Linked DNA regions of Tribolium castaneum. The protein of the gene in region 1 interacts with the protein of each later gene in a biochemical or structural test. Links are inferred from orthologs where the notes say so. Each region holds a gene or a part of one and is shown on either strand. Other genes may lie near its edges.

Region 1 (4,436 bases):
ACTCCTCCCAAACTTGGGTGTATGCCTCCAAAGGTAATTCCCCATGGCCCATTCCATACTTTACAATTTCCATTTCACGTTTCAATAATTGTTTGGCAAGTTTTAAATCATCCGATTTGAAATCGTCATACGGGTGCTGTTCCAGGAATGCCAACTGCTGGGCCTGAGCCAAAGCCGAGCGCTTGACTTGGTTAGGGTTTTTCAAATTGTCAAATTGCAACATTGTCACCATCTCACACTTGATCAATTCCTCGGCTTTCTGCAGCTCGGTCAACGAATGCGACTCGTGATTCGGCCGCAAAACGGCCAAATTTACATCGTGGGGGCGCGGCAGCCCCCTTTGAATCACCTGCGACCGCAGGGCTAACTCCTGAGCCGCCCGAATTTTCGCTTCTTCAAGCGCTCGCGCATCAACATCTGCCTGATCTTCGACAATATTTGGCGTTTTTTCTTCTTCTTTTTCCTCTTCTTCCTGTTCGGGAACGACGATTTCGTAGTCGTTCTTCGGTGTCGGTAAACTACTTAAGCCTAGTCTTAGTTGTTCTTTTAAATTGTTTTGGAGCGAACGCTGTTCGGCTGGAGTTTGTGCCACCATTTCGGTGTTTTCCTCATTTATATTGAGTTTGTCACGAACTGAAGGCGTAAAACTGCCTTGGGGGCCCTGCGGTGTCATGAAACCGGGGGTTTGGGCCCCGAAAGGGGTCGCCAGGACCGTATTGGGAGTGGCTATGGTGAGGGCTTGTGGTAAAACGCCCGAAAAATCCGAGTTGTGAAGTGGCGTGTTTCGGCCCCCTTTTGAAAGAGATATACAAGGTGAGGCAAAGTTTGCAGTTTGGCGTTTTGCGACTAAACTATTAACTTTTTGGGAAAAGTTATTAGTGGATGGTACACTACTATAAAAATGGGACTTTTTTCAAAGTATAAAGTTTTTTAATTTTTTCGTTCGTTTTGAAGTTATGGTATTTTTTAGGTAGTAACCCACCTAGAAATTTTTTTATTGGTTATTAAGTTATTGAGACAAATAAAGTAATAAAAAGAAAGAACTACAAGTCATTTAATGTCAATTTCATTTTTTTATTTTTTATTTTTTTTACATATTATGAACAAGAAAATTGATATTTCATCCAATAAAGACAGATTTGGAATCTTCAAACAATTTTAAGTCACATAGGCATGCTCTTGGCAGGGTATTCAGTTATTGTGACTTAAATAGTTTTTTTATTGGTAGGTGACAAAGTAAAACTTTTAACTGTATCTCTATATTTAGCTCGTATTATAAGAAAAAAAAAATTTTTTTTTAATTTATTTGTACCTTTCTTAATTATTATTACGCACATTTTTAAAAATCAAGAACTTACAAAAGTTCTTAATTTCGGGATATTTTTGAGCAATATAGCGGGTGAGGCAAACTTTGCAATTTAGTATTTTTTGGCGAAACTATTCACTTTTTGAAAAAACAGATTGGTGGACGGTAAACTACTACAAAATTGCAATTTTTTTTCAAGAATAAAATTTTTCGATTTTTTCGCTCCTCTTCGAGTTACGTCATTATTTATTTATTTTTTTGTGATTTTTTTTTTACCTTTGAGTGGGGTATCCACATGCGTCAAAGCCATGACATTTTGCGCTTCTTGAAGTATCCGATCAGTTTGCGGTGCCGGAGTTCGGGGAGTCACCGCTGCCGCTTGTGGCGCCGCCACCGTATAATCATTGAACAACGTATCAGTCGACTCGATTCCACTCTCTGCTGCAACTTCACGTGCAACTTCACTCGCTTTACCCAACTTTACGACTTGTTGCAACTCCAGATCGCTAATTTGCGGCTCGGGAAGTACCAATTTCGAGCGTTTTTTCGCCGGTTCTTGATTCTGTAGCATCGCTTGTGGAATATCATTTTCTTTTCTTTGTTTTAATTTTTGTTTATCTTTGCGACGTTCGCGTTCTTCTTGTTCGCTTCGCAGTTCACCGTCGAGATGTTGTTGACGCATTTTGTGAAAATCGGGCGCCATTGGATCAACAATTTCGGTGGAAGTGTCGTAAAAACCAATCGCTGGACGTTTTTCGAAGGGGATTTCCTCATTGTAGTCAACACCGCGTTTTTTCTTACGACGCGAATTCACTTCGATGCCGGCAGCTCGAAGCTCGCGCCTTTTTTGCAGTGCTGCCAATCGACGCGCTTCTTCCAGCTGCTTTTCGCGCGCTTTTCGCTTCGCTTTTTTGCCCTGGGTGTTGGCAAGCCTGGCGCGCGCCTCGGACAACATCTCCAGCTCTGCAACGACAAACACGCGTGCCAACCTTTTTGCGTTATAGTATACTATACAGGGTGATTCTTTTGCGGTTTTGAAATTTTTATTGCATTTTTGAATTCGTGTTTTGAAACTGAGAAAAATGTACCCCATTTGTTAGCTCTTACCATCCTCGTCCATGTCTTTGGGGTCGGGCCTCGCAGGCTTGGTTTCCGGATTGGGGTCAATTTCCCCCGGTTTGAGCTTCCGGGGGTCGTCCGTGACATCCTCCCCTTCTTCCTTCTTCTGTGCCTGATCCAGGAGGTACTCGTAGCGCTCCAAACACTGAGCGGCCGTTCGCCCGATTATGGGGGCTATCGTGCGCCACTGAGTCGGCATTAACTTGGCCAAATGTAGCAACTTTTCGTCCTCTTCCCGCGACCATTCCGTTTTTTTAATACTGGGGTCCAACCATTCGAACCAACGCGCTTTACACTGTTTGGCCGATTTGCGGTGAAGGAGCGAGGCAATTCGAGACCACTGGTTTTTCCCATATTTCATTACCGCCGCTTTGAGGATCTCATCCTCGGTGTTGCGCCAAACGCCCCCCTTTATCATTATACGCGGCATTTTTGCACTCTTTAGTTAAAAACCTAACCTCACTTTTGACAAAAACTTAAATTTTATAACAATACCACTAAAAGCACGATAATGATGCTTGGGTCAACACTATTGAGTCACTAATTAGATAAGAAGTAATTATTTTGGGACACTAATGCAAAAAACGGCCCTTTTTAAACGGCTTGATTTTTGGTTATAAAAATGGCCGTCCTTGAGTTGGCATAACTGTTAGTCGAGAAAAAACAAAAATTGGGGATTAAAAATAATCAGAACCGTACTTAGAACGTATTAATCGTGACACGAGACTGATCTAAAACGTGATAATTTTTTCCTGTCTTGAAATAATTAAAAAAGTGTGGTTGGTATCTCGCGTCAGTCGGCGAAAGTCCCTAGCCCCCCCAAATCCCTGTGTTTATTTAACCCTTTTGAAATGTTATCTCGGTGATAAAGCGCCCAAGTGTTGCCCCCTTTCGCCCCAATCGTCTAAATTCGGGCCCCAAGCCCTTAATTTCGCCCTTAACCTCACTTCTCCTGTCACTTGTCACTCCCAACTGTCATTGTTATTAGCCCCCAGAGAGCACCATGTCGTTCGCTTTGCGCGTCAAAACCAAAACGGGGCAACAAGTGATCAAAAACCTAACACCTGAGCACACGATCAAAGATTTGAAGCGCCAGTTGTGCTCCATATCGCAGATCCCCGAGGACAGGCTCCATGTGTTGTCAGGGTTCCCCCCGAAGGCGTTCGCCTTGGGGGACGATGGTCTCGAGTTGAGTCGCAGTGGTCTCAAGTCGGGCGATACCCTGATTTTGGAGGAGAAGGCCCGGGAGACTGCGCCCCCCTTGCGGGGCCATATCAGTGAAAGTGTCGACTGTCCGGGGATTCTGATGAAGAAGGTGGTGCCGGCCGACAACTCGTGTCTTTTCAGTAGTGTTTACTTCGCCCTGAACGGGAAACTGGACGAGAGTGGCACGGCAGCCCCCTACATGAGACAAGTGATTGCCGAAACGGTGGCCAGCGACCCCGAGATGTTTTCCGAGGCGATTTTGGGGAAACCCAACCGTGAGTATTGCGCCTGGATCCAGGACGACAAGTCATGGGGGGGCGCCATCGAGTTGGCCATTCTCTCGAATCACTATGGGTTCGAAATTGCCGTCGTAGACACGATCAACGCTATTATCAACCGGTTCGGGGAAGACCAGCATTACACACTTCGAATTTTTCTAATGTTTGATGGTATACACTATGACCCCCTTTTTTTGGAATCGTCCGATGTAATTTCCTTACTCAGGGGGTTATCAAAAAATTATTTGATTCGTTTCAGGGGGCGAGTATTCAGACGATTTTTCCCACTGATGATGATAAGGTTTTACAAGAGGCGCAGGAATTAGCGCGCGAGGCGAAGTCGAGTCGACAATTCACTGATGTTAACAAATTTACGCTAAAATGCATGAATTGTAATATTTTCCTTAATGGACAATTGCAGGCAAGGGAGCATGCGCAAAGTACGGGACATACGAATTTCGGGGAAGTCTAGCACTGCCAGTGACCATTTTCTAGACTTGTTTTAGATTTTTTCAAGGGGATTAATT
Region 2 (4,081 bases), on another chromosome or scaffold:
AATGATTCGTCATACATTAAACTGGCGGTCTGGTTATAATTAAAAAAATTTTTGAATTATTTTTACGGCTTAATTTTGATCGATCGTTGTAGAATTTTTCAAGAATTCACACCTTTCAAAAAACGATATTTTTATTTTTGTGAGGCTTTAGGGCTCCTAAAGGTGCAAAAACGACAAGTTTTCACCGATTTTCAGTTTTGCCAACATCGGAGGCATGCCAAGTAATTACTACTGTTCAACGCACATAATTTGAAATTTTTGATGGCACTATATTTGTAGGATAAGAAAGTATTAAAGTCTATTTTTGTGTAATTTTTGGCTCCAACAGGAGTAACGTAATAATGTTAATTTAAAACTCGTTGTTATAAGGTAACATAAACAAATGCTAGAGCAATACTTTTAATGAATATAAAAAAAAACAGTGATACAATAATCAACACTTCACTGAACATAAATACAGTATTGACCTTTCCAGGTATTATATTGATGGCCAAAAACAGATAAAAGAATTAAATTGTACAACCTACATTATGCTTATTTTGTTACGTTTATTACTTATTTTTAGTCTTAGAAAGAAGTGTTTTAGTGTTTGTACTTGAGTCAAGTGTAGTGTCTTTGTTTTTAAAAGATCCGTTGGCTGTTAATAAAGTGATTATAATTTTTGAACACTGCAAAATCCCTTGTGACGAGAAATTAGGAAAATACCAAATGAAATAATTTTTATTCGAAGTAATGGCAATAACATATCAAAACTTATCAACTAAGTGCAAAATGTGTTGCTGCTCCTGATCCCTCCACTCCTTATCCCCTTCGTCCCCCAAATTCCCGGCATATTCCCGCATAATGTGCCTTATCGTCTTCAACGAAGCCCCCCTAAGATTGAGGATTTGCATAACTCGCTGCTTAATACTGGCGGGTCCCGCAGCACAAACTTCCACAATAATATAATCCACCAACTGCAACGTGAACAATCCTCCTTCCAGCCGCTTCATATAACTCGCATCATCATCCTCAACTCCATTTTCCTCCTCAATGGCCTCATCAATGGCTTCAACCTTCTCCAAATATTTGAAGTGTAGCTCAAGCAACCTGTCGACTTTCTCGTGATCATTTTCCGTAAATTTACTAATGAGCCTTTGTCTCTGCGACCCGCGACAATTCCGCAGCATGGACGCGATAATCGAAGTGACGTGCTCTTCGTGCTCTTCCGTCGACAAGACTTTCTTCCTGTTCTTCTTCGGCGTTTTCATAAATAGGGGGAAAATGGTCCGCAGGCCTAAAATATCCACGAACTTGTTGCAATTGTCTTTGCCATGGGGGCCCGACATTGCGTAATCCAGCACTTTAAGTGAGCCGTTCCGCGAGGTTTTCTTCTCTCTGAGCATCAAATTCATCAGTTGCAAGCCCTCGCCTTTGAGAAACCGGTCTCGGTTTGAGACGATCATCAGTGCGCTGCACAAACAGTTGAACAGGTTCTCCATTAGCTCGTGTTCTTCGGCACTGGAGGGGTCGTGGCGCTTGTAGAAGGCCAACTGTTGCAACAAAGTGTCGATTCCGTCCATTTCGCCCAAAGCAGTTCGGTTTTTTTCGTTGTCTTGGAGCAGGATTGAGAGGAGTTCGCTGGCGTAGAGTTTGTTGGCGTCGAAAGGGGCTTTGACTTTCAACCGTTTCAAGAGCCACTGGAGCAAGCCCTGTTTGGTGGCCTCGTTGCAAATGTCATTGCGGAGTTCGGTCAAGTTTTCTATTATTGATAGGGAGTTGTGGACACCGTCTGCTTCCTCCTTCACTTTTTCGTCCAAACGGTCCAGGTTTTGGACGAGGAGGGCTATCACTTGGTGGTCGAGCAAGGCGTCAATTAGGGCTTCGGCACCTTCTTCAGACTCGTGGAGGATGTCCACATCGGTCAGTTCTTGCAACAGCTCCACGGTCGCCACCTGACACATTTTTTAATGCAATAAAGATAACAGCTGCTAACTGTTCTTGATATTTACAATAACGTTTATTATTTTTACTTACTGCCACATCAGTGTTATCATGTGCCAACAGTTCCAGCAAGCTGGGTATGACTTGCAGCTTCACAAGAAGGGGGTAATAGTCAGGTGCGGTCGATAACACCCTCATTTCTTGTAAAATTTCATGTAGTTCGAGCTCGCTCTCCATAAACTTTTCAGGCGAGTCTGGAAACTTGATCCTCATTTCTCTGTTTTTGAGACTCCGTTTTTCGAAATTTAGAACAATTCGCTTGATTGCCGCTTCGTCAATGACTTCGCCCTGAAACACAGTCTAGTTGTAAACGAATGGGCTTGGAACTGACTGAGGAGATACTTCTGTTTGTTCAGTTTCCACAAATTTTAATATTTCTTGTCTTTCTTCTTCGGATATCTGGTCCAAAGTTTGTATTGACGGGGTTGGGGATGCGGCACGGGACATTCTATTGGCTTTATCCCGTGCAATTCGCCGCATTTTTCTCTGTTTTTCGATTTCATCGTTTTCATTCTCGACTGGGCGTTTTACGCCTTGAGGGGGCTACAGTCGGAATTTTGTATTAGAAATGAATTTCGTCAAATGTGTTGACTTACTTTGTAGTCCAGTAATTCACCAATATCCATTTTTAAGGTTTTTTGGGAAACTTAATAACTAACCTCTTTGTTTATGTCAAATTTCTGTGAATTTAACCTATAAATTTTTAAAATTGCTAGAGAATAAAAAATTAAGTCACTAGAAATTTGACATTTTAACTGTCAAAAACTTGTCAGGGGATTGTAAGGTTATTTCCAATTGTAACAAATAATAAAAATTATATAACAGGTACACAAGGTCCAAATTAATTAAATTCGGGAATTTATAAGTTTTTGTAGCACAATGTCGGCGTCAGGTCGAGCTTCCATTGGTTTACTAAAACGTGGTTGGCATGAGATTCCTGATGTGATGGGCAGTGGTGTAATGGCTCTCATTGGACTTGGGCTGGGGGCTATCTCTTTTCATTTATACTACAATGTTAAAGACGGGGACAACAGACGGTACAAAATCGAATACACAGTGATTCGTCATGATGATCCCCGCGCAGAAAAAGTTAGGAAGGATTAAAGACACTAGATAATCAATATACGTTTTATTGTAGTACCATTTGTTTTGTTTAATAAATTATAATTTCATCAGTTTTTTTAACCGTACCAATAAGGAAAATAACAATAATCTGATTAAAAAATTTCCTAGTTAAAATAACAGCAAATAGTACTGTATTTACATGATAGTGTATTAAAAATCTGGCCTATTCGTAATATACATATATAAAAAGAAATCTGTTAACACCATGAGAAGAAGGGGCTCTTGTCCTGGAAGCGTTGTGTAAAGTTGAAAAATCGAGACGTTTGTTGGCTTTGTGACCTAAAAGACCGAATAATGCGTTATTATTACTGACTGAACAAATAATACCTTTCCACGACAACAGCCGGCATTTGGACTAGCTGCACCGGGGACTTCCCATCCTTCAGAGCTTGCGTTAGGTTAAGAATTTGGCCCCTCATCACTGACATTTGCCTTTCATACAGACTCCTGTCAAAGCCCTTATCTTGCTTAAATAGTAAATATAAATCATCACATAAATCCTGCACAAAATTCATATCGGCTAGCAACGGTAGAACAAGATCCTTCGTTTCTTTACTGAAGGGAACTTTAGCCTGTGGTAACCATGCCCAGTGGTACGGATAGGCCCTCCAGCTGTCTGGATGCTTGTAAGGAAACGCCAACCCATTGTCTATCGCCGCGACCTTTATCTCAGGTAAATGAACTAGATTCCACTCTGTGGTTTCGGTTAATTCTACTGGACCGTTTCCGTTAGAAATCGTAGGATGTTCGTATTTGATAAGCCAATTATCATTTCCGCGATCCGTGTTTCGTATTATATAATCTAAAACGACTAAGCGTTCAAACTGAAGTTGAAATTTTTGAGCCATTCGCGGAGGTAGAGGCTCCACCTCGAACCTCCGCAGCCAATAATCGGCGTCCTTGTAACCATCTACAAACAACTGGAATGAACCACACTAAAAAATCGGGTTAAATTTCCAAAACGTGAAATAAA

Evidence for each region. The genes of interacting proteins can lie anywhere in the genome.
Region 2: the proteins of Cdc5 (region 1) and beta-catenin-like protein 1 form a complex in vitro, tested with the Homo sapiens proteins (3 studies listed by BioGRID and IntAct, with this or other methods). The link is inferred for Tribolium castaneum from reciprocal best matches to the Homo sapiens genes CDC5L and CTNNBL1.

The regions. Positions count from the first base shown.
Region 1 is NC_087400.1:3,566,902-3,571,337, forward strand, and holds the start of Cdc5 (cell division cycle 5-like protein), read right to left. Parts: upstream 3,061-4,436; 5' UTR 2,856-3,060; coding exon 2,414-2,855; intron 2,270-2,413; coding exon 1,583-2,269; intron 793-1,582; coding exon 1-792. Other genes in the region: Yod1 (ubiquitin thioesterase Otu1), read left to right, coding at 3,429-4,118, 4,169-4,381.
Region 2 is NC_087398.1:8,515,182-8,519,262, forward strand, and holds beta-catenin-like protein 1, read right to left. Parts: upstream 2,710-4,081; 5' UTR 2,610-2,709; coding exon 2,580-2,609; intron 2,527-2,579; coding exon 2,326-2,526; intron 2,272-2,325; coding exon 2,017-2,271; intron 1,935-2,016; coding exon 747-1,934; 3' UTR 703-746; downstream 1-702. Other genes in the region: uncharacterized protein NdufA3, read left to right, coding at 2,863-3,087; Pi4KIIalpha (phosphatidylinositol 4-kinase type 2-alpha), read right to left, coding at 3,306-3,387, 3,436-4,043. UniProt on the Homo sapiens protein: Component of the PRP19-CDC5L complex that forms an integral part of the spliceosome and is required for activating pre-mRNA splicing.